Tamandua tetradactyla: one gene and its partners. The protein of the gene in region 2 interacts with the protein of the main gene of each other region in a pairwise test. Links are inferred from orthologs where the notes say so. Each region holds a gene or a part of one and is shown on either strand. Other genes may lie near its edges.

Region 1 (7,706 bases), on a different chromosome or scaffold from region 2:
AGAGTGTTAATGGACTGTGGACTTTGGGCACTATACATGATTCCTGATGAATGCAGGTGGCTGAAGGATGCACTGACTGAGAAGTAGATTGGCGAATGATAGTGTATACTTATGAACAAATGTTATGCTGCTACAAAAAAGGAATGAAGTCGTGAGGCAAGCAATGATGTGAATGGATGTGTGGGGCATTTGGTGAGGCAAAATAAGTCAGAAGCAAAAGATCAACAATGGTATGGTGTCCTTTAGAAAATACTTACAAGAAAACAGGGACCTAGATTGCAAGCTTTTATAGCAGACACATTTGGTCCGGAGTGGTAATTATGATTTCCGGATTTTGAGAGGCTGTTTTATATATACATAAAACCTGATATTTAGAGATAAGAATGAAGCCGATCAGGTTGAGGTTAAAGTAATTCAGAACACAGGGGTAAGGAAGACAATGTCTATATTTTATAACCACACATACTCTTTGAGGCCAAAGGAGGAAAGGTTTATTTAGTCTAGAATCGAAATTTTCTGTAGCACATAATCTAAGTCAACCTATCTGTTTACCTCATTTGAACAATTGAAACACAGGGAGCCCAGAATAAGAAAGAGGTTCTTTAATCCTGTATAGCCTAATGTAATGCCTGGATATATCCTAGAGTATATGAGGGATGGGAGGGAAAATATGGAGCTATTAAACTTTAACATCAGGAAATCCCCTGATACTGTGTGAAACTTTAGGGACACCCAAATCAATAGGCCATGCCCTTGATCTTGAGGCTTACTCTTGTGAAGCTTATACAGGTAGTATAGAAGCTTAGCCTACCTATAGGTATGCCAAAGAGTTACTTCTGGAAGACTTCTTTTGTTGTTCAGAAATGGCCTCAGTCTCTCTAAGCCCAACTCTGCAAGTGAAATCATTGCCCTTCCCCCTACATGGGACGTGATATCCAGCTGAAAGTCTCCCTGGCGATGTAGGAGATGACTCCCAGGGATGAATCTGACCCTGGCACCGTGGGATCAATTTCATTCTGATTAAAAGGGGGGGAAAAGAAGTGTAACTAATGAAGTATCAGTGGCAGAGAGAGTTCAAATAGAGTCGAGAGGCTACTCTGTAAGCTGCTCTTATGCAAGCTTCAGTTAGACATTGCTACCTGTCATAGCCTGCCAAACCCCAAACAGGACCAGTTAGCCAACCCTAAAGAACACCTAGGGCAATATATAATATTTCTCAAGGGTTCCATGCACTAGTGTAACTTTCCAGGAACATACAACCTCCAGATGGGTCCCTGGACCAGATAAGTCCTGAAACCCAGAGGGCCCAGCCTCTCCAGAACATCAGATAGTTTCACCTCCCTACCCCATATTAGTGACAGACCCTTCCAACATGAAAAAGTTAGAATGGCCATAGCCCAAAAACCCCTAAAGAGAGGAATGGAAAGATCAAAAGTGATGGTAGAGTTATACAGAGAAGATAGGATTTAACACATGAATATGAGTGCTGAATCATTAAAGTGATATCTCTTTTAGTCTCCAATATCTTAGAGCAGCTAGAAGTAAAAACCTAAAATTGTGGAATTGTAACCCATGTCAAACTTTGAAATATGTCCTACAACTAACTCTGATGCTGTGCTTTGAAATTTGCTTTTTTGTATATATGTTATTTTTCACAAAAAAGAGAGAAAAAAAGTCAATTGTGGGGATAAAAAAAATGTTTAAACCTTCTAGCCTCCTAGATTCTGGTGCAGCTAGGAGGAAAAATCTGAGCAGATCATATGGTAACCCAGAACCAACTCTGGGATCTGTCCTGTAACTACTTGTTAAGAGTGCTTTGAAAACTACTGCTTTTTTATTTCTTTGCTTTATACATATGCTATACTATACAATAAAAAAGTAAAAAAAAAAAATTAAAAATTAAAAAAGTTAGCTGATCTGGAAGCAATAGTGGGATACACTGGTAAATGAGGAAAATGTGGGAAGTGAGCAATGAGAGTCTATAAAGAGTTCAGGATCTGCTCAATTACCCAGACAAAAGGTAAATTATAACCCCAGATGATTCCATACAATAAATCATGCTCCCAGTATCTTCACAGAGGAAGAGGTGTTAGTGTAGACTGACACCATGTATATGAAGGACCTTTGTAAAGTATAAATTTGTATGTCAATTGTAGTTGTCATTGTTATTAATATCTGGCTATACTGTCTAACAATTAAACAACACATCTGAACAGGATTTTCCCATACAGTATTCATTCCTCATTTACCACAAATGTTTATTTAATACATATATGTGCCAGGTAAGCAGGCAATATTATTACCATCTTAAAAAAGAATAAATTGAGGTTCTGAGAGCCTAAGATTTGCCCAAAGTCACATGTCTTGGAGAGTTGAGATCTTTGGTTCCTAGTTCATATCAAACCTTGCTGCTCTATAGAACTGAAATGACCATAAACTATGTTTGCCAAAGCCGTCAATCTTCATTAATCCTTCTTTTTCATTTTTTCCCATTAACTCTTAAATGTAATTATTTAAATACTTTCGGCAAAGTTTGACCACTTCTATTTCTCTCTGCACAGTAGCATTTTTCCTTATTGCTATTATATGGACTTCCCAGGAGTCATGCTACAGAAATGAATGTCCACAATGTTTGGTTTTACATTACTGGCTTACATTTATTGAGTGCACATGGCATGTCAGGAATGGTGCTAAGCACTGTGAAGGTAATCTCATATAATCCTTAAAATTGTCTTCTAAAGAAGGTAAATTATCCCTCTTTTATTGTAAGGAAACTAAGGCTCAGTAAGATTACGTTGCCGAAAGTCACAGGCAGAAATATAAACTATGTGGCAATTCTTACAGGAGAATATTTAAAGCTCCTGAAAATCAGAGGCTGAACCAACAGACCTTTATGGTTCCTACATGAAGAGACAGTCAAGTGTGGAACAAATGCTAAACTAAGGATAAAAGTAAGAGGCAGGACTGTGCATATACCCAGTTTTGTTTAACTCCAAAACCCACAGTTTCTCCACACTGCCACAATGAGGCACAGGTGTGGCCAGTTTATTATCATTTGATTCCATCCCTAGGCAATAATGGCAATAAATTTTGTGTCACCATCATCATCACAGTGGCTAAAATTTATTGAGCACTTTCTATTTGACAAACACTCTTCTATAGATTCAGGAACAACTAATAATTAAATTTTCCATGATAAAAGAGAAGAGGTGTCCCTTCATATTAAGGCTTTTTTTATTTTTAAATTTTTTTTAGATGATGGTAAACTCTTGCTTACCAAGAGAAGTAGAAAATTTAGGTTGTGAAGTATTATTCTGCTGTTGGATTCAGGATGTTGAAAACAGTATCCATGCTTTTGATTACCATGCTTTTCTGTACAGATGTGTATAACATAATAGGATAAAATAATTTATTGAACACAAATATTGTTCTACTGTGTCAAGTAGTGTGTGAGATGTTGCAGTGTAGTTGCTAGCATTTAGTAGTCACAAAGTGTCAGCTTTGCCAGGGACTGAGGAAAAGGAAAGAGATGGTGACCAAACTGGACAAATTTCACTTCTCTGAGCTTAGTTCCTATTCTGTAAACGAGGGAGTTGGATTTCCAGGTCTTAATTGTCTTTGTTTTTCTGACTTTGTGGGATGGTTCCTCCTCCTCATCTAGCACTATGCCCAGGTCATAACATTCGTCTTATACTATTCTAGCTTTGCAATTCATTAATTCATTCAACTGATGTTTTCTGAGCTTTTACTAGTGTCAGGCACTATGAAGCTGAAGTTGCCAATGACACAAGCAACTCCTTTCATGGAGCTTACAGCCCAAGGGGATAAAACAACAAATACTTAATTATCTTTAAAATAAATAATTATAAATAATACTTAAATAACTATTGTTGGAATGGTACAAGGATATGTCTTTTTTTTCAGTCATAAAATGAAGCAAATGATTGGCTGTTTCAGTTACAAAAATGAAGGTCTAGCAATGTCATCAGATTTAAAAGGGGAGGGGGTATTATAATACCTTACAATTAACTAATGATTGAACAGCCATTACCCTTGGAATTATGAGTAGCCTACTCCATATCTTCACCTCGAAATGAGAAGGGAGAGGGAGGGGGCTTCTCAAAAGAGCAGCGAGAAGTCACACTTTAATTCCCCCAAATCAAACATAGAGACAAACTGTAAAGTGAGATTCTGTAATTTAATCTGGCCATCAGAATTTCTTTGAGTCTTTCTAGGCTCCTCCGAGCAGCGGGAAAGTGGATGGAAAGAAAAACAATGCCATGAACTTTAAGGCGGATTTCCTTCCCATTATTACTGCCTTAGTGGCAGGAACCTGGGAAAGGGAAGTCAAGGTGTGGTTTGAGCAAGAGGCAACTCCCGGGAATGGCACTTAGTAGGGCAGGGCAGAGAACACCGGGAGGAAACAGAAAAGAGGAGGAGAAAGCGCTGGGACCTGAAGGTGAGAGCGTAGAAAAACAATCCGCGTCGGGAGCCGCGCGCCGTTCAGGTGGTCCTTTCCCGCTCAGGTGAGCTCCTCCCGCGCGTCCCATTGGCCGAGGCGCCCGCGGCGCTGGGAGGACGACGCAGCCCGGTCTAGTTCAGGGTCTAGGGCAGCGCGTCACTTCCGGTAGCGCGGAGCTTGTAAAACACCCTGGAGAGAAAATGGCGGCGGCAGCTGCTTCGGCGCCTCAGCAGCTCTCGGATGAGGAGCTTTTCTCTCAGCTCCGTCGTTACGGCCTGTCTCCTGGCCCGGTGACAGAGAGCACCCGCCCCGTCTATCTCAAGAAGCTGAAGAAGCTTCGAGAAGAAGAGCAGCAGCATCGGTCCGGGAGCCGCGGCAACAAGACGCGGAACAGTAATAACAATAACACGGCAGCCACCACCGTCGCAGCCGCGGGACCGGCGGCGGCGGCCGTCGTGGGGATGGGGGTCCGGCCAGTCTCGGGCGACCTCTCCTACCTACGGACTTCGGGGGGCCTCAGCCGAATCTCGGCCTCGGGCCGGGAAAGCCCCTTGGGAGAGCCTGGGGGCGCCTCGGCCGCCCCCAGGGCTGGCAGCAAAGTGCTGCTGGGCTTCAGCTCGGACGAATCGGACGTCGAGGCCAGTCCCCGGGACCAGGCCGCCGGCGGCGGCGGTGGCGGCGGCGGGAGGAAGGACCGGGCTTCTCTCCAGTACCGAGGGCTCAAACCGCCGCCGGCGCCCCTGGCCGCCAGCGAGGTGACTAACAGCAACTCAGCCGAGCGGAGGAAGCCCCACTCATGGTGGGGGGCCAGGAGGCCGGCTGCCCCCGAACTGCAGACTCCATCGGGGAAAGACGGAGCAGTGGACGACGAGGAAGAGGAGGGAGAAGACGGTGAGGAGAGGGATCCGGAGGCCGAGGAGCAGCAGTGGTCGAGGCGGACGGTGAATGGTAGCCGGCTTCTCCCCTACATCTGCCGGGAAAACTACTCGGACTCGGAGGAAGAAGAGAACGACGATGTGGCCTCCACCAGGCAGGTATCAAAGGACGATTCCCTTTCCCGGCATCGGCCCAGGCGGAGCCATAGTAAACCTCTTGCACCGCTGACTGCTAAATCTGCCGGCAGCAGGCTGGAGACCTCAGTTCAAGGAGGGGGAGGAATCGCGATGAATGACAGGGCGGCGGCTGCTGGGAGTCTAGACAGGAGCCGAAACCTCGAAGAGGCGGCGGCGGCGGCTGTGGGGCAGGGAGGAGGGTGTGATCTACTGGACTCCAGCCCCGTTCCTAGATACCGTGTTAACGCTAAGAAATTGGCCCCTCTTCTGTCTCCGCCACTTACTGACATCGACTCAACCTTGGATTCGTCAACAGTCCCCCTTCGTAAAACTAATAATCATATAGGCGGTGGGGCCTTCAGTGGGGACTCCCCCAGGATTTATTCCAACAGTTTTCCTCCCACTGCCGCGGTGGCCGCCTCCAGTTCACTCAGGATCAATCACTCCAATCATACGGGCTCCAATCATACCTACCTGAAAAACACGTACAACAAACCGAAGCTTTCCGAACCCGAGGAGGAACTTCTCCTGCAATTTAAACGAGAGGAGGTGTCCCCAACAGGGAGTTTTAGTGCCCACTACTTGTCGATGTTTCTCTTAACTGCTGCCTGCTTATTTTTCCTAATATTGGGACTGACTTACCTAGGAATGCGGGGGACAGGAGTATCCGAAGATGGAGGACTCAACTGTAAGTATTAAGCTCTGTGGGTAAGGTAAGGAAGGGCATGTTAATGGTCATGCTTTAACCGCAGTTACATTTTCCGGGAGGTGACTTTTACCTGCAAGAACATGGTTTAGTGAAACGCAACAAATTGAGAGCATTTGTGTCACCTTTCTTTAAGAAAGAGCATTATTTTGGTCCTCAAAAAGATATCCTATAGCTAATTTAAGAGACATCGTAAATCAATGTCTCTTCAAATTGAGTTGTGATTCTAACAGGGAGTGTAAATGCTCTTGAAATTCCAGTTAGTTTGTAGAATTATGTGGGCAGATATGTAATTTCTTTAAAATGAATGAATCTTGAAAGTAGCAAGGCCTTCCCCCTTCCTCCTCCAAATTATTTTCCAGCACCAACTAGCTTCTCTCTCACTTGTGAAAAAGTACCAGTAGGGAGAGCAGTACAAGAGCTTGGGTTCAGATTTACCTGAATTGCGTTCCAGACCCTGCCGTTTACTTGCTAGGTAACTGTAGACAGGTGTGTTCATTCATTCCGCCAGCATCTGAACATTTCTTCTGTGCCAAGCACCCAGTTTACAATAGTAATAAATCAAAGTCTCCTTGCTCTTAAAAACGAAAAGGAGATCATTTTGTGTTTTATGAAGGCGGTAAGGAGGAATTGGTTGGTGTGTGCTACTTTAGATTGAATTGTCAGAAGAGATACTATTTGAGATGAGACTGAAGCAGGGGAAGGAACCAGCCTTGTAAAGAGGAAGAGATCATTCTGGGCAAAGAGAACAAGAGGAAAGGCCCCGAGTTGAGCAAGAGTTTTCCTGTAGGCTGAAGTGGATAGAGCATCTTGAGCAAGAGGGAGAGAGGAAAATCTTCTCTTTCCTAATCTATAAAATGGTGGTAACTGAATAGGAAGGTGGCAGTGAGGTTTAAAATAGAGAAAGTAAATTAGTGCGTGAAGAACTGCTGAATAATAATTTCTCAGTGTTAGCTCTCTCTCCATACTCCCTCTGAAAACTTCTACTCTTTTTACCTAACATGAATTCATTGCATCATGATTTGTATTTATAAAATTGGCTTATTATATTAGCTTTGTTTCATAGTAGAGTGAATGATGCAATTAGCAGACTCAGAAAAATAATAGGGGCCAAAATAGTGTAAGCTTTGACTAGATAACACCAATTTTAAGATGTTCAGATTTTTAATTGTTCATTTTTTAAGATGTTAAGATTATTAATAATATTGCTTGATTAAAGAAATTGGAAAAGAACTCAAATCCAACCCTCGCTGTAATCAGTTCCCTGGGAACAAGAGTAATGTGATGTATCCTTCCCCACATATTTGGGAGCAAAAAGGAATAAGGTTACATTGGAAGCTAAAACTAGTAAAGTTGCCATAAATTAACTGATACTGCTTATCAGCAATGGAATATACTGCCTCTATTTGTTTCTCTACCAACGCCACCACCTACTATATGACCCATCCTTTTCTAAGGGTTAAATGCTTTACACATATTATCGTCC
Region 2 (7,571 bases):
GTGTGTGTTGATTGCTCCACTGACCGGCTGTTCCCCCACCTCTCTCCCTCACATTGGGCCTCCCTATTCCCTAAGATGCAACAATATTGAAATTAGATCAATTAATAACCCTTCAATGAATACTACTGGTCAATGAGAGGGAGTGGTAAGGGGTATGGGCTGTATGAGTTCTTTCTCTTTTCTTTTTATTTCTTTTTCTGGAGTGATGCAAATGTTCTAAAAATGATCAAGGTGGTGAATACACAAATATGTGATGCTATTGTGAGCCATTGATTGCACACCATGTATAGACTGTATGTGTGTGAAGATTTGTCAATAAAAATATTTGTTAAAAAAATAACCCTTCCCCAATGGCTTCTAAGTGTTCAAGTGAAAGGAAGAGTCCCGCATCTCTTAATTTAAATGAAAAGCTAGAAATGATTAAGCTTAGTAAGGAAGGCGTGTTGAAAGCTGAAACAGGTTAAAAGCTAGGTTTCTTGTGTCAAACAGTTAGCCAAGTTGTGAATGCAAAGGAAAAGTTCTTGAAGGAAATTAAAAGTGCTACTCCAGTGAACACATGAATGATAAGAAAGTGAAACAGTCATTACTGATGTGGAGAAAGTTTTAGCAATCTGGATAGAAGATCAAACTAGCTATAACATTTTTTTAAGTCAAAATCTAACCCAGAGCAAGGCCCTAACCTCTTCAATTTTAGGAAGGCTGAGAGAGGTGAGAAAACTGTAGAAGAGACGTTTGAAGTTAGCAGAGGTTGGTTCATGAGGTTTAAGGAATGAAGCTGTTTCTGCAACATCAAAGTGCAAGGTAAAAAGCAGCAAGTGCTTATTTAGAGCCTACAGCAAGTTATCCAGAAGATCTAGCTAAGATCACTGAGGAAGGTGGCTACACTAAACCACACATTTTCAATGTAGATGAAACAGCCTTCTATTGGAAGAAGATGCCATCAAGGGCTTTCATAGTTAGAGAGAAGAATTCAATGGCTGGTTTCAAAGTTTCATAGGACAGGCTGACTCTCTTGTTAGGGGCTAATGTTAAATTGAAGCCAGTGCTCATTGACCATTCTGAAAATCCTAGCAGCTTTAAGAATTATGTTAAATCTACTCTGCCAGTGCTCTATAAATGGAAGAACAAAGCCTGGATGATACCACATCTGTTTACAACATGAATTACTGAATATCTTAAGCCTACTGTTGAGACCTATTGCTTAGGAAAAAAATATTCCTTTCAAAATAGTACTGCTCATTGAAAATGCCCCTGGTCATCCAAGAGCTTTGATGGAGATGCCCAATGAGATGAATGCTTTCATGCCTGCTAACATAACATCTGTCTGTAGTCCATGGATTTAGGAGTCATTTTGATTTTTAAGTCCTTATTATTTAAGAAATACATTTCATAAGGCTATAGCTGCTATAGATAGGGACTGTGCTGATGGATCTGGGCAAAGGCCACCAAAAACCTCCTGGAAAGGATTCACCATTCTGGATGCCATTAAGAACATTTGCGATTCATGGGAGGAGGTCAAAATATCAACAAGAACAGGAGTTTGGAAGAAGTTGATTCCAACCTTTAGGGATGACTTTGAGGGATTCAAGATTTCAGTGGAGGAAGTAACTGCAGATGCTGTGGAAACAGCAAGAGAACTAGAGTTAGAAGTGGTGCTTGAAGATGCTGTGTGTTGATTGCTCCACTGACTGGCTCTTCCCCCACCTCCCTCCCTCACATCAGGCCTCCTCATTCCCTAAAATGCAACAATCTTGAAATTAGATGTTAATAATCCTTCAATGAATAGAAGTGGTCAATGAGAGGGAGCAGTAAGGGGTATGGGCTGTTTGAGTTTTTTCTCTTTTCTTTTTATTTCTTTTTCTGGACTGATTGCACATGTTCTAAAAATGATCAATACACAATACAAATATGTGTATTCATCTAAATTGTGACTAAATCGCTACACTCTCATGATGAAACTTGAACAGATGAAACGTTGCTTCTTATGGATGAGCAACGAAAGTGGTTCTTGAGATGGAACCTACCCTGGGTGAAGATGCTGAGAACATGGTTGAAATGAAAACAAAAGATTTAGAATATTACATAAGCTTAGAGCCAAGATTTGAGAAGATTGATTCCCATTTTGAAAGAAGTTCTGTGGGCAAAATACTGTCAAACGCTGTCATAGGCTATAAAGAAATCTTGTGAAAGGAAGAGTCAGTCGATACAACAAACTTTATTGTTGCCTGTTTTAAGAAATTCTACAGCCACTCCATTCGTCAGCAACCACCCTGAGCAGTCAACAGCCATCAACATCAAGGCAAGACCTTCCATCAGCAAAAAGATTACAACTTGCTAAAGGCTCAGATGACGGTTAGTACTTTTTAGCTATAAAGTATTTTTTAGTTATACTATGCACAGTTTTTTTTTTTAGACAAAATACAATTGCACACTTACTAGACCAAAGTATTGTGTGAACATAACTTCGAATGCACTGAGAAAACAAAATATTCATGTGACTTGCTTTATTGTGATAATCGCTTTATTGTAGTCGTCTGAACTGAAATCGCAGCATCTCTGAGGTTTGCCTATATACAACCCACATTTAGGTTTTCATAATTGTCCCAATAATGTACCTTTTAAAAAGGTACCTGGGTTTTTATTACCATTTAAAGAAAAAAAACTGTGCAAAGGGCAAAGTCAAATTTCCTAGCATGCATAATATTAATAGTTATTATTTGGGCCCATTAGCACTATGCCATGAAAGGTCAGTATAGGTTAAAAAAAATCATTAGCTTTAAAAAGTCATTTTATAAATTTTCCCCCAATCCAGGATCCAATCAAGGATGGTACACTGTATTAGTTGTCATGTCTTTTTTTTTTAAAAAACAGCTTTATTGAAATACAATTCACATAACATGATTTACCCATTTAAAGGGTAAAGTCCAATGGCTTTTAGTGTATTTACAGACTTGTGCATCCATATATTTTTATCACCCCTAAAATAAACCCCATACCCTTTAGCTATCACTTCCCAAGCCTCTAACCCACCGGCCTTAGGCAACCACCAGTGTACTTTCTGTTGCTATAAACATGTCAATTTTGCACATTTCATATGAACAGAATTATACACCATGTGGTCTTGTGAGTGGCTTATTTTACTTAGCATGTTCCCAAGGTTCATCCATTTTGCAGAATGCATCCATACGTCATTCCTTTTTACGGCTGAATAATATTCCATTGCATAGATATACCACTATTTATTTATCAAAGAAGGGTTTTGAGTGAGCCCAGGAGTGAGCTGATCTGACAAGGACATAATAATGTTCACTTTGGTTGTTCTTCCAGTGAGCAGAGGGATCAGCTCTACTGATAGAGAGAATAATTCCTACTGATAGGGAAAATAAGAGGAGGTCCAATAATTGCCTAGTAATACTTTAACAAAGAAAGGAATTTAATATTCTGATACATAATTTATAAACAGCATTTTACAAGCTTTATGGAATTTGTTGCATTTCCTTTGAATAATTAAAAATGGAATGCAGAAATAATAAGTAACTAAGAATTAAGAATTGAAAATGAATTTAAAAATAATTAAAAACTTTGTAAGGGTACACGAGCAATAGAAGACTACCATTAATTTATGATGCTTGTTGTATTTCCTTTATATTACGAAGGTGGTAACAATTCTTTTGGTCCATGTGAAATTATTCAGAATAATTATTCTCATCTAAGCATAACTCAACATTCTGGTAATTACCCAAAATTTCATGGCAGCATCCAGAGAGTTTGCCAAAAGAAAAACTGACTTACGAAATGCTATTTTCAATGTCTATGCAGATAAAGACGATAAGAACTTCTTTATTTTTGTTTTTGGGGTTAGCGTCAACTAAAAGATTTTCAAAGTGACCATTTAGCGTTTAGAACTCTTTTGTGGCATCTGTCATTATTTGGAGCAACGAAGTTACCTATTCCAATCATTGGATCTCCAATTGGCACAAAACGTTTGATTTAGGGTTTGATGTAAGCACATGGATAGTTACTTGGCTCTTCAGTTCTGGGTACAGTGCAACTTCTAGGGGCCAGCAAATCACTAGGGAGTGAGAGAAGGGCTGTGAAAAATGTCTGGAAAGACTTGTCAAAAATGCTGTCCACGTTTTAGAGCAGCTCGGTGGGCGCGGTTGGATGGGTTAATGCACATTTGAGAAAGTAAACACAGGGAGTACCGAACTTCACTTGCAGCTAATGCCCCACGTCCGCTCCACCAGGACTGAAGGAGGCAGGTTAGGAAGGCCCTGCAGGATACACTGTTTTCTCTCCCAGGAATAACGGGGGCGTGCGGCTGGGGGCGGAGTAAGTCGCTCCGACTGCTCCCCAGCCGCGTCCGCGGGCCCGGGAGGCGCTGCGCTCGCGTGGGGCTCGGCGGGGAATTTGGAGAGGATCCCTGGTCGCTCGGCGGCAGCGGCGGCGGTGGCGCGCGGGTGCGCGTGTGAGCGAGTGAGCGAGCGAGCGGGCAGGCGGGCGAGTTCGCCGGGTATTGGCAGCCGAGGGGTGGAGGCTGGGCGGCTCCGACTCCCTGACGCCAGCGCGACCAGATCAATCCAGGCTCCGCGAACGAGCGGGCGGAGGAAGGAGAGGCCGAGCTGCCCAGCCCAGGCCGAGGCGCTCGCTGGGAGGGAGCCTGCGTGCGGAGCGCGGCGCAGAGCCCGGCCGGCCGGCCCGGGGCCGCGGGGATCCCGTTCGTCCGGCCACTCGTGCGCCCGCGACAACGGGCGCGCCGCCAACTCGGTAAAACGAAACAGACCCGGACCCAACTTTTCTCTTTACCGCGTCCCCGCCCTCCTCTCTGCGCCCTGGGCTTTCTCAGCGCGGCCGCCGCCTCTGCGGCAACAGGCGCGGGCCCTCCGGGGCCACTGCGGTCGTGCGGGGCCGGCGGCGCGGGCTGAGGAGTCCGAGGGGCTCTTCCCGGCGTGGGGCGGACCGGGGAAGCCTGCTCCTCTCTCCTCCCATGATGGCGCCTCCTGGCCGCTCTCAGGAGCTAACCTGCCACCTCCTCTTCCCTTCGCGCCCAGCCGGCGGGGCAGGGTTCGCCTGGGGTTCACCTCGCGTCTTTGTTGGGTCTGCGGTGGGGAAACCGCTGTTCTTCGGCCCCCCTGCATCGCCGCCGGCCCTGCAAGTCCTCTGCGGGCGCCCTCCCCCTGCGCCTGCTCCCGGTTTCTCTTTCCCTTTCTGCAACCGGGCCGAGGCCGTCCGCGCGGCCCGCGGGCCCATTGTGTCCCGCGCCGGCCGGGGCGACCCGTGCGGGAGTTTGGGGACAGACGCCGGCGTTGCCCTTTACGCATTGGGCGCCTCGCGGAGCGGGTCTGGAGGGGGAGGACACCCGGTGCTCCCGGCTCCTCCGCATCCCGGACGTGTTGCCTCCTCTGCCCCTACAAGCCACTTTGGGGTCGAGGTCAAGGAAAGTTCGCACCGACGTTCCCTCGGATTTATTCAGAGGTTTGGCGGCGCGTGAATTTTCTTTCTCTCTCTCTTTTTTTTTCTCTTCCGCCTACACCCCCTGAGTCTTCAAGTGTCGTCTCATTCCTTTCCCTTTACCGGATTCGATTGCCTCACTGCATGTGAATTTGTGAGTTCGTTGTTGAACAACTGTTCATTTTCTCTGCTCCCTGTCTTTGTTAGCATTTCTCGGGATTGTTTCTGTAGGGTGGTGGGGGTGGTAGGTGTGAGAGAGACAGACGTGGGCTTGTTTTTCTAGTTGCTTATTATATATGAAGGCTTAAAGGGAGAGCGTTTCTTTGCTGTACTTAGGGAAGGGAGGAGGAACGAATGCCTGCCGAATGCTACTGCTGCAGTCGCTGCGGCTTTTGTTTATTTGGAGGCGCATGCGATTTTTAAATACACTGTGCAAGATAACCAGTGAGCACTTCCATCTGAAAATTGTGGTCGGTCTCAGAATCGTATCCTGAGGAAAGCTTCATTTTCGTGAGTGCTGTGACAACCAGCCTTTTCTTTCCACTCGTGTTCTTTGCTTTCCATTGTGTATGAAGTTTCAGAGTACGTGGAATGACATAGAAGTTGCCTGATGGGAAGTTGTCTTCCTTTTGCCGAGACTCAGCTGCTAAACCACAGAATGCCTTTATTTCATCTCTTGTTCTAATCGTCGTGGGTAACGCTTCAGTAAGACAGTGAGAAAACTGTTTTCTGCCTGTGTTGATTTTTCGTCTTGTTTATAATGACCACTTTAAATTTTAATGGAGGTAGGTGAGCTATGGTGGAATCACTGGTTAAAGGAATCGAGGCAGAACCAAAGTTTTGCTTCAGCGTTTGACATGCCCCAGCAGTTTCGACGGGTGTAAATGTGTTTGCATCAGTGTTGTGTTATTCTAGTGCAAGACCTAAATATCCTGTAGTGATTGAAGTTTTTGTCCTCCCTCGCCCTCCTTCTTTTCCATTTGCAGTTATTTGATATTTCTGTGCAGGCAGTGACCATTTGTGTGATATTGCAATTCTTGGGAAACTGTAACCAGGGTTGTGAGATGATTTTCTGGAGGTGGGTGATCCTCTAGAGGCTCCAGATGGTATCGGGTTTCCTCTGAGGGTAGGGATTTGTCCTTGATTTAGTTTTGACCCCTCTGACCATAGGTATGTAACTAAATACATTTTTCCTTTTGCAGTGTTCTTTGGTTTTATACCCTCGAAGAGCTGATGACTTTTGCATTTTAGAGAAGTGACACATTTTAGGCAATTAAAAACGTTAATGTCTTAACGCTTTTTGGAATTCAAATAATTTTTTTTTACAAGGACCAGATAAAACGTTAAATAAGTCTTATTTTCCTAAATGCATTTATTAGTTAAAAATTAAATTTCAGTTTCTAATTTTGATTTCTAGTAATTCGGGGTTAAAAATAAAATTTAATAACTTGGTAGATTGGAAAAGGAATAAACTTGAGTCTACTTAGAAGAGCATGTTTAAGCTGCAGTAGTCTACATAATCAAGGCCAAGTCATGTGTGTACAAAAGATCTCATTTGTGTAGTCTTAAAGGCTAATGGAGGCATCATTGAGGCTTTATAAATAATGTAAGTTGTGTATAATGTAGAGTCTCAAGAGACAGCAGAGAAAGCATCATTACCAGCCTTTTCAACCTGCTTGAGATCTTAAATTGATTTACAGCACTGAACTGGTGCAAAATGATACATCAGAATGACATGGGGTCAGCCTGTAAAAGTCTATGATGTCAGCCTATTAGTTCAGTCATCATAATTAAACCGTATTACAGGGGCAGCTAAGCAGGAGTCTGGCATTATACTTCAGATATGGGTGGTACGTGAATTTTGTTTATAGTGAAAAGGCCTACGTGACCAAGACATTAGTGTTTCTGAAATAGGGAAAGGCTTACAGAACTCTTGAGTTTCTGAAAAAAATTGAAGATAAAAGCAGAGATGTTCAGTTTGTAGTGTAGCTTTGCATTTGTAAAGGTAAATGTAGCTTTACATTTGGCAGTAAAGAAATGCTTTGAGGGTGCTGGTAACCGTCTTTGCCGCTCTGATCTCTGTGCTGAATTGTGCTTCATGTGAGCTTGAATTTAACTTG
Region 3 (7,767 bases), on a different chromosome or scaffold from region 2:
TGATTATATAACAAGAACAGAATGATCATATAAGAATGTTTGTGTTTGTATGTGGTCATGTATCATAAATAAAATATAAATAAAATTTTTTTAAAAGTTCCCACTCACAATGGGTTCATGCCCACAAGAATAGATTAACGTAAAGAACGTGTTTTCTGCAGTACATTCAGCTTCAAACCACCACTCTCCATCTATGTGTCTTGTCTGTCTGCCTGTCTATCTACTTATCATTATTTATCTATCACATAATAGGTGGTTTGCGAATATGACCATCGCTTTGGAGGATATGATTTAGATCTGTTGAATTCAATTGCGGTGTTCTTGTGAGTATTTTCCATATCCTTCTTTCTTAGTTTTCCAGGCTGCTATTGAAGTAGAGAGACTCCAAGCACCACCCAAGAAAGCACTGGAACCTCTGAGAAGTGGACAAAACTTTTTATTTTCCGTGGCAGACTCAGAGGGCTCCTGTCCAAAGTCTGAGCCCTGAATATCCTTTGTTTCTAGATTATACAGGCCAGCAAGAAAGGGGGGAGTTACTATGGGAATGGGCAGTAAACAATGGAAAAGCATAGAAATAGTAGTTGCAGGGCAGGAGTTATTATCTGGCCCTTAGCTTATTTCTTTTGTCTGAAATGCAGGCAGCCCTGGACGTGACAAGGAACAGGCACAGCAGACATCCTGTTTTACTTCCTTCGAGAAACCATGTATTTTACATACATTTGTGAGTGCACAAATTCATAGCATGATACACAGAAATACACAGGGAGATACATAAATGCATAAAGTGGTGCACACAAATTCATAAAGTTATACAGCAATAATACTGAGGATAAAGTTACAAACTACCTCACATGACAAGTAGCACACAATGGGTTACCTTAATCGAGGAATTTATGAGCCCATGACATTAAGGCTAGGGGAAGACCAAAATCTAGCTATCGGGAAAGACTGTAGCATTCTGGTACTGGCCACTGGGGACCCTCGGGGTTCCTCAGCTTTCCTGTCACATGGTGACCTCCTTTCCTTTCTCCTCCTGGTTCCCTGACTTCCGGTTTTCAGCTCTTCTCCGTGCCTTTCTCTGTCTCAATTGCGTCCACTTATAAAGGACTTCACATCACGAATGAGGCTCATCCTCATTAACTAAAATAACATCTTCAAGAGCTCCCATTCACAATGGGTTCACACCCACAGGAACACGAACGAAGATTAAGAATTTTGTCTGGTTACGTAATTCAAACAGCCACACTTCCCTTCTGCTTTATTTTTCTCCCTAGCTCTCATCGCTGACTGAATTTGTTCTATGTTCAGCTTTTTATTTCATTTACTGCGCATCCCCCCCCCCATATACACACTTCCTGGATTGCCAGCTCCAGGAGAACAGGCATTTTTGCCTATTATGGTCATGCTGCATTTCAGCACTTGTAACAGGAATCAGTGAAGTGCAGCCCTCGGGTCAAATCTAGGGGATTCGTTTTTTTTTTTTTACATGGGCAGGCACCGGGAATCGAACCCAGGTCCTTGGGCATGGCAGGCAAGCACTCTTACCTGCTGAGCCACCGTGGCCCTAGGGGATCCGTTTTAAAACAGCTTTTTCAGCTAAGAACGATTCTCTTTAAATTTTTTTTTTCATTTTTACATTTTTTCAGTGGTTGCAAAAAAAAATCACAATTGTAACAATATTTCGTGCACGTGAAAATTACATCAACTTTACATTTCTGTGTCTATAAATAAGCTTTTATTGACACACAGGCACGTTCATTTGTTTTCATGGTGCATGTGGCCACTTTCGCATCTTCGAACACAGCGTTGAGACTAAACAAAATTGAAAATATTCTGCTGACCCTTGACCCAAAATAGCGTACAGCACTTAGTAGGTGCTCAACAAACAGAGAGGTTATTTCCTAACACCTTTCGGAAGGGTCTGCCACTGGCCTTTGGATGCAGGTATCCCTGGATTAAGAGCTGGCTTTGCCAATATCTGGGCAAAAATTGCTTCTTGTCTCTGAGCCCTGGTATCAAGGTCAGAAAATGGGGTCAATGCGAAGACTCAGAATGTACAATCTGGGAGGGTGGCGGGGTAGGAGTGGAGGAGTAGAGCAGAATAAGTGCTGACACAGTGTTAACTATCTAACATCCCCTTGCGAATCTGTCTTCCAGCTATAACAATTCACAGTTCAGGGCCCATCTCATTGTGGTCACTTCTGCCCCAAGCCTTCCCTATTATTTTAAAGCAAATCCCACACCATTTGTGTAAACACGCAGGCTTGCATTTCTCATATTTTAAAAACAGCGATTTCCGGGGCCTGCCCATGCAAAACAAACAAACAAACATTGCAATGATACCATTATCATAAACAGAAACATTTAAAACATTCACACCAGGAAAGCTGCCAGAATCTACAGGTGATAAGATTTCATAGAACTATCCACCCACCCACCCCAAAAATGTGCATGTAAAAACTGATGAATGATTGAAAAAAAAGGAAAAACTAGTGAATGAGGTCTGTACCTGTATTAGGTATTAGCAACTTGGTTTTTTGTTTGTTTGTTTGTTTTTTATTAATTAAAGAAAAAAAGAAATTAACACATTTAGAAATCATTCCATTCTACATATGCAATCAGTAATTCTTAACATCATCACATAGATGCATGATCATCATTTCTTAGTACATTTGCATCGATTTAGGAAAAGAACTAGCAAAACAACAGAAAAAGATATAGAATGTTAATATAGAGAAAAAAATAAAAATAATAATAGTTAAAAAAAAGACACAAACAAACAGACAAACAAAAAAAAACTTGGTTTTGATCATTCATTCCATATGGAAGATATCAAGGAAAGGTGGGTGAAGGATACATGGAAACTTTCTGTACTACGTTTTCAACCTTTTGTGAGCCTTAAACTATTCCTAAATTAAAAATTTTATTAAAAATAAAAAAACAACCACACAGAATCAGCAGGGCTGGAAATAGGGTGAGGCCAGTGAGACTCATTTGTGTCAAAGCAGAGTTGGAATTTGTCTGCTTACATCATCGACATTTTTGTTCACCATGGATTCTGGGGGCCATTAATATTTTTATTGACAAGATAACATACAAACACAAACATTCTTAATATAAGAACATTCCATACATGGTGCACAATCAATGGTTCACAATATCATCACATACTTGTGTATTCATCACCATAATCTTTTTTAGAACATTTGCATCACTCCAGAAAAAGAAATAAAAAAATTCATACATCCCATAACCCTTAACTCTTCCCTTTCACTGACCACAAAAGTGTATGTCCATCTACCCCATATATTTTAACCTTTGTTCCCCCTATATTTGTTATTTTATCCATATTTTTAACTCATCTGTCTATACACTAGATAACAGGAGCATCAGACACAAGGTTTTCACAATCACACAGTCACACTGTAAAAGCTGTATCATTATACAATCATCTTCAACAGACAAGGCTACTGCAACACAGCTCTTTGGTTTCAGGTATTTCCCTCCAGCCACTCAAATGCACCATAAACTGAAAAGGGATATCTATGTAATACATAATAACCTCCAGGATAACCTCTCAACTGCTTGAAATCTCTCAGCCACCGACACTTTATTTTGTCTCATTTCTCTCCTTCTCGTCTTGGTCAGGAACGTTTTCTCAATCTCTTGATGCTGGGTCCCAGCTCATCCTGGGATTTCTGTCCCACGTTGCCAGGGAGATTTACACCCCTGGGAGTCAGGGACCCCATTAAAAGTTATTCTAAAAATATTCTCCTTGATTACTGAGTTTTCCTGGCACCCGCTTAGTTTCGTGCCCGAGTTTCTTCCTGCCCTGAGAATTTGAATATCCCTGAAACTACATTTTATTAAGTAATATCACAGCAGTTTGAGGTTTACAGGAAAATCATGCAGAATGCAGTATTCCAATATATGCTTTTTCCCCTTCAATTTTCCTAGCATTAACAATAAGCATTAAGGGGGACCTTTGTTATAATTCCTGAACAAATATTGTATTATTAACCGTAAGAAAGACACTCTTTTTGGTCCCTCGCTTCTCCCTTTACACACAGGAAAGTTTGAGATCGGCTGTCTGGGCGGGGCACTGGGGAGCCAAGGAGAGCTTCTGAGCAGGGAAGGCTGAGCTCAGGGCAAATTCGAAACCCTGAAAGTTCACTTCGGATAAGGAGGCAGGAAAGAATGAAGTCGGGGTCGACGATGCGGGAGCGCCTGCAAAGCGGAGCGCGGTGCTCGGTGCACGAGCTCCAGGAATTCGTGGAAATGGGGCGCCGCGCATTTCTCAGACTCGGGCAACCCGGAAACGGGCAGAGCGGGGGGGGGGGGGGGGGGGGGGCTTAGGTCCCGCCCCCCACCTGCCGCGCCAAGACCCGGATGTATAGCGCGGGGCGCCGGGGTCCGCTGGGTCCGCGCCGCGCCGCGCGCACTGGCGACCGCCGCAGTGGAGCGGCTGTCCCCTCCCCCCCCAAAGCCGCCGGACCTCCGGGCGCGCACCTGGAGGCCGCCTCGCACCGGAGCACCAGCATCTGCCGTCGCCTCCACCTGCATCGCCGCCGCTCCTATCGCCCACCACCGACCCGCGCGGGGCTCGTGCTCCTTTAAGAAGCCAGACGCAGCTGCGGGGTGGGCGGGGTCGCCGCGAGCGAACCCTGATTGGCTCGAGGCCCGGGCGGCGGCCGCACGCGCCTGCGCAGAGCGCGGCAGCGCGAGCCTGGGGAGAGGCGGGCGCGTGGGCGCTAATTGGCCGCGGCGGTCGCCCCGCCCGCGGGTGGCGGGCGGTCACGTGACGTGACGGCTGGGGGCTCCCGGCGCGGGGGACGCTGGTGGCCAAGATGGCGGCGGAGCTGGTGGAGGCCAAAGTGAGTGAGCGGCGGCGGCGCCGTCCCGGGCGGGCGGCCGGGCGGACGAGGGGGCGGGGGCGCGGGGCGGGCCTGGGGGCTGAGGCCTGCGCCTTCCGCCCCGGGCCCCGGGCGCCACCTGCTCGAGGCTTCGGTGCGGCGGCTCCCGGCCGGGGGACTCGGGGTGCGGGCGGGGGGCGGGGAGGCCGGGGGCGGGGCCCCGACACCTCGCCCCAGTCGTCGTGTCGGGGGTCAGGTCCCCCGGCTTGAAGCAGGGTCCCCGCAGCCAAGCGCAAACCGCCGGAGTCTGGGTCTCCCTGAACCCAGGGGGCAGGGCCGCGCCTCCCGTCTGAGGCAGAGTCTCTCCCCGGACGGCGTGATGGGTCGGGGTTCTCGTTCCCTCCTCCCAAGCTGGTGTCGGTGTTTTCTAGCCCGGGTCGGGGGAATTGTCAGCGTTCGGCCTTCCACGGTCTCTGGCTCTTGCCTGCGCGCTCAGGAGACCAGGCAGGGGTTTGCGACTCCCGGCTGAGAAGGGTCCCCGCCTCCCGGCGCTGTTCCGCCCATCAACAGCACGGGGTGATGGGCCCCGAGCCCTGGAGCGCTTCCAAACCCGGTTGTCCGCCGATGGTGTGTGACCCAGGCCTGGCGTGGAGCCCATCTTCAGCACCTACGGTAGTCCACGAGCCCCGCCCCCCTCCTGACACTGGTGCCTAGCCCCGGAGTGGCCTGGGGCCGCCCGTCTGCCCTGACTCCTCTGCCTTCCTCCTGCCCCCTTTACAGTCCTGGGTTCTGAACCTTGCCGTTCTCCACTTTGTTTTCCCCTCCGGACAGTAACTAGGAACCTATGGATTCGGCTTCTGGGAACCTTAACTCCGCTCACACGCATCCCGCCCCCAAGCAGAATCAGATCCCATTTCTAAACTTCAGCTGCTTCCCCTATACTCTGTTCTCTAGTGAATCTACTTCCTAGGTCAAAGGTCTGATTTTATATACCTATGCACCCCAGATCTGTCTTCTGAGCCCCTTTTTTCTGCCTGCTTCCCTCTTTCTGTTCTTGGAAGGTTTGCAGCTGGTTCCAGGATAGGCCTTTTTCCTTAACGGCCTCCTGCTAAGTCTCCCTCAGATTCTAGGACAGGGGCCTCTCTGTTTTAGCCTGGGGTCCCATTTGTCCCAGGGATGTACTTTCTTCTGGATGCCTCCTCAATGGTAAGGCTCCCAAACCTTTGTCTCATACCAGGGTTTTCTGCCCTTAAAAGTACACTCCCAGCCATTGCTCCCAGGGAGGCAGGGGCTAGGGCTTTCCTAGGCCTTCCAAGCACTGCCCTTCCCCTCCCCTCTTGGATCTGTCCTCCCCAGGGTCCTGACCTGTAAATGATTGCTTTCTTCTTTCCCCTCCCTCTCTTCTCCCTTCCCCCAGGGATCTGGCACATGGCCCTTAAGATCCCTATATTATAACGTGTATCTCCCCCCCACCTCCCTTCCACAATCCCATGTCACATGCATTCCTGCTCTCTCCTGGGTTTTGAGAAATGGCCAGTCTGTCCTGGAACTGTGGAGGACTGGACTTCGCAAGCCCAAGGTGCCAGCCTCCCTAGTCAAAGTCCCCTAGAGCCCTGAAACTCAACCTTCTGGCAGAGCTGTGGCTCTGGACCCCCACCCCCATGCCCAATGGAGGAGGTTAGGGTCTGTGCTCTTTTTTTAATACCATCCAGGGCCTTGAAATGTGATCCCATGAACTCTTCTTGACCCGACCATGGCTGGGACTTCCTACCCCAATTAAATCAAGTTGACCCTTCTTTCTTTCAAGTTCTAAAAGATGTGCACCTCCATTCTGAGGGGGTGGGGGCAGGTAGGTGTGGAATGACAACCAAACCTCCCCCAATCCCAGGGAACCATTTTACTACCACCCTACAGTGGCTTAAATGTAAATGCAGTGATCACCCTTTTGTCAGGTGTTTTGGGGGTCCTGAGGCTTCTCCCCTCTTTTCCCTGTGCCTTGCATTTGGAGCTGGAGATTTGCCTGTTGGGGTGCAAAAGAGGCTGGTTTGAGATTGATTGACTTTGAGAGTCTTAAGGGCTATGAGGTTGGCTTGGGGGAAGGAGTCCAGGAACTCCTTGAGGTAGTCTGTAGCATTTTGCAGACCTCTTTTTTTTCTGGAAAGAGGGGCTTTGCTTTCCTCCCATTTTCAGAGGCCACGATGGGGAAAAGGTTAAGTGCAGCTGCTCCAGGCTGATGTTTCTTCACACAGCTTCCCAACAAGTCCAGAGTTGAAACTGCTCTGGAACCTGTCTGGCCCAAAGCAGTCAGCCCAAAGCCATTGGGTCCCAGAGCTGTTTATAAACAGTTCCAACAGGCGGGCAGGTCAGGATGCACCTACAGCAGGAAGTGATCTCCGAGGCATTTGGGGCTTTCTGAATGTTTGTTCCCCCCTCCCCCCTCCCCAGCTCCACTGGAGTCAAGGGCAGGCTGCTCGGTGGTGGCAGCTGCTGAGAAATTTGAGTCGTGAACATATGGCAGCTTGAGGGGTGTGCCCTGGGTTGCTTGTGCGGCAGCTCCTGGCGTCCAACCTGGCCGGAGGGGCTAGGCCCTGGTGGAGAGGGGGGCAGGGTAGGTCAGGGGCTCCCAGGCGCCAGCTGATGTCAGCAGATCTCTTGTGGTCAGACCCTGAATGGCTGAACCCACCTGCCTTCAGCAGCGGTTATTAAGCTTCCACATGACACTGCTTCTCCCTCGAAAGGCTTGGGCCTGTTCCAGAAGATACATCTTGTCCACAAGTCTTTTTTTTTGCTCAAGGTAGGAAGGCCGGCCAAGGGGGCTGAAGGCACTTTGTTTTCAAAGTTATCCAGGTTCTCAGGCAGGGGATGTGCCTTGTGAAAGAAGACCCCGTAGTGTTCCCCAGGTAGATGGGTATGA

What was found.
Region 1: the proteins of SMAD1 (region 2) and LEMD3 interact in binary tests that used the Homo sapiens proteins (3 or more experiments, as listed by UniProt). The link is inferred for Tamandua tetradactyla from reciprocal best matches to the Homo sapiens genes SMAD1 and LEMD3.
Region 3: the proteins of SMAD1 (region 2) and PIAS4 interact in a two-hybrid assay, tested with the Homo sapiens proteins (2 studies listed by BioGRID and IntAct). The link is inferred for Tamandua tetradactyla from reciprocal best matches to the Homo sapiens genes SMAD1 and PIAS4.

The regions. Positions count from the first base shown.
Region 1 is NC_135333.1:133,020,751-133,028,456, forward strand, and holds the start of LEMD3 (inner nuclear membrane protein Man1), read left to right. Parts: upstream 1-4,615; 5' UTR 4,616-4,662; coding exon 4,663-6,202; intron 6,203-7,706.
Region 2 is NC_135348.1:22,612,617-22,620,187, reverse strand, and holds the start of SMAD1 (mothers against decapentaplegic homolog 1), read left to right. Parts: upstream 1-4,491; 5' UTR 4,492-4,767; intron 4,768-5,278; exon of another isoform or gene 5,279-5,961; intron 5,962-7,571. UniProt on the Homo sapiens protein: Transcriptional modulator that plays a role in various cellular processes, including embryonic development, cell differentiation, and tissue homeostasis.
Region 3 is NC_135337.1:78,023,356-78,031,122, reverse strand, and holds the start of PIAS4 (E3 SUMO-protein ligase PIAS4), read left to right. Parts: upstream 1-4,764; 5' UTR 4,765-4,847; coding exon 4,848-4,874; intron 4,875-7,767.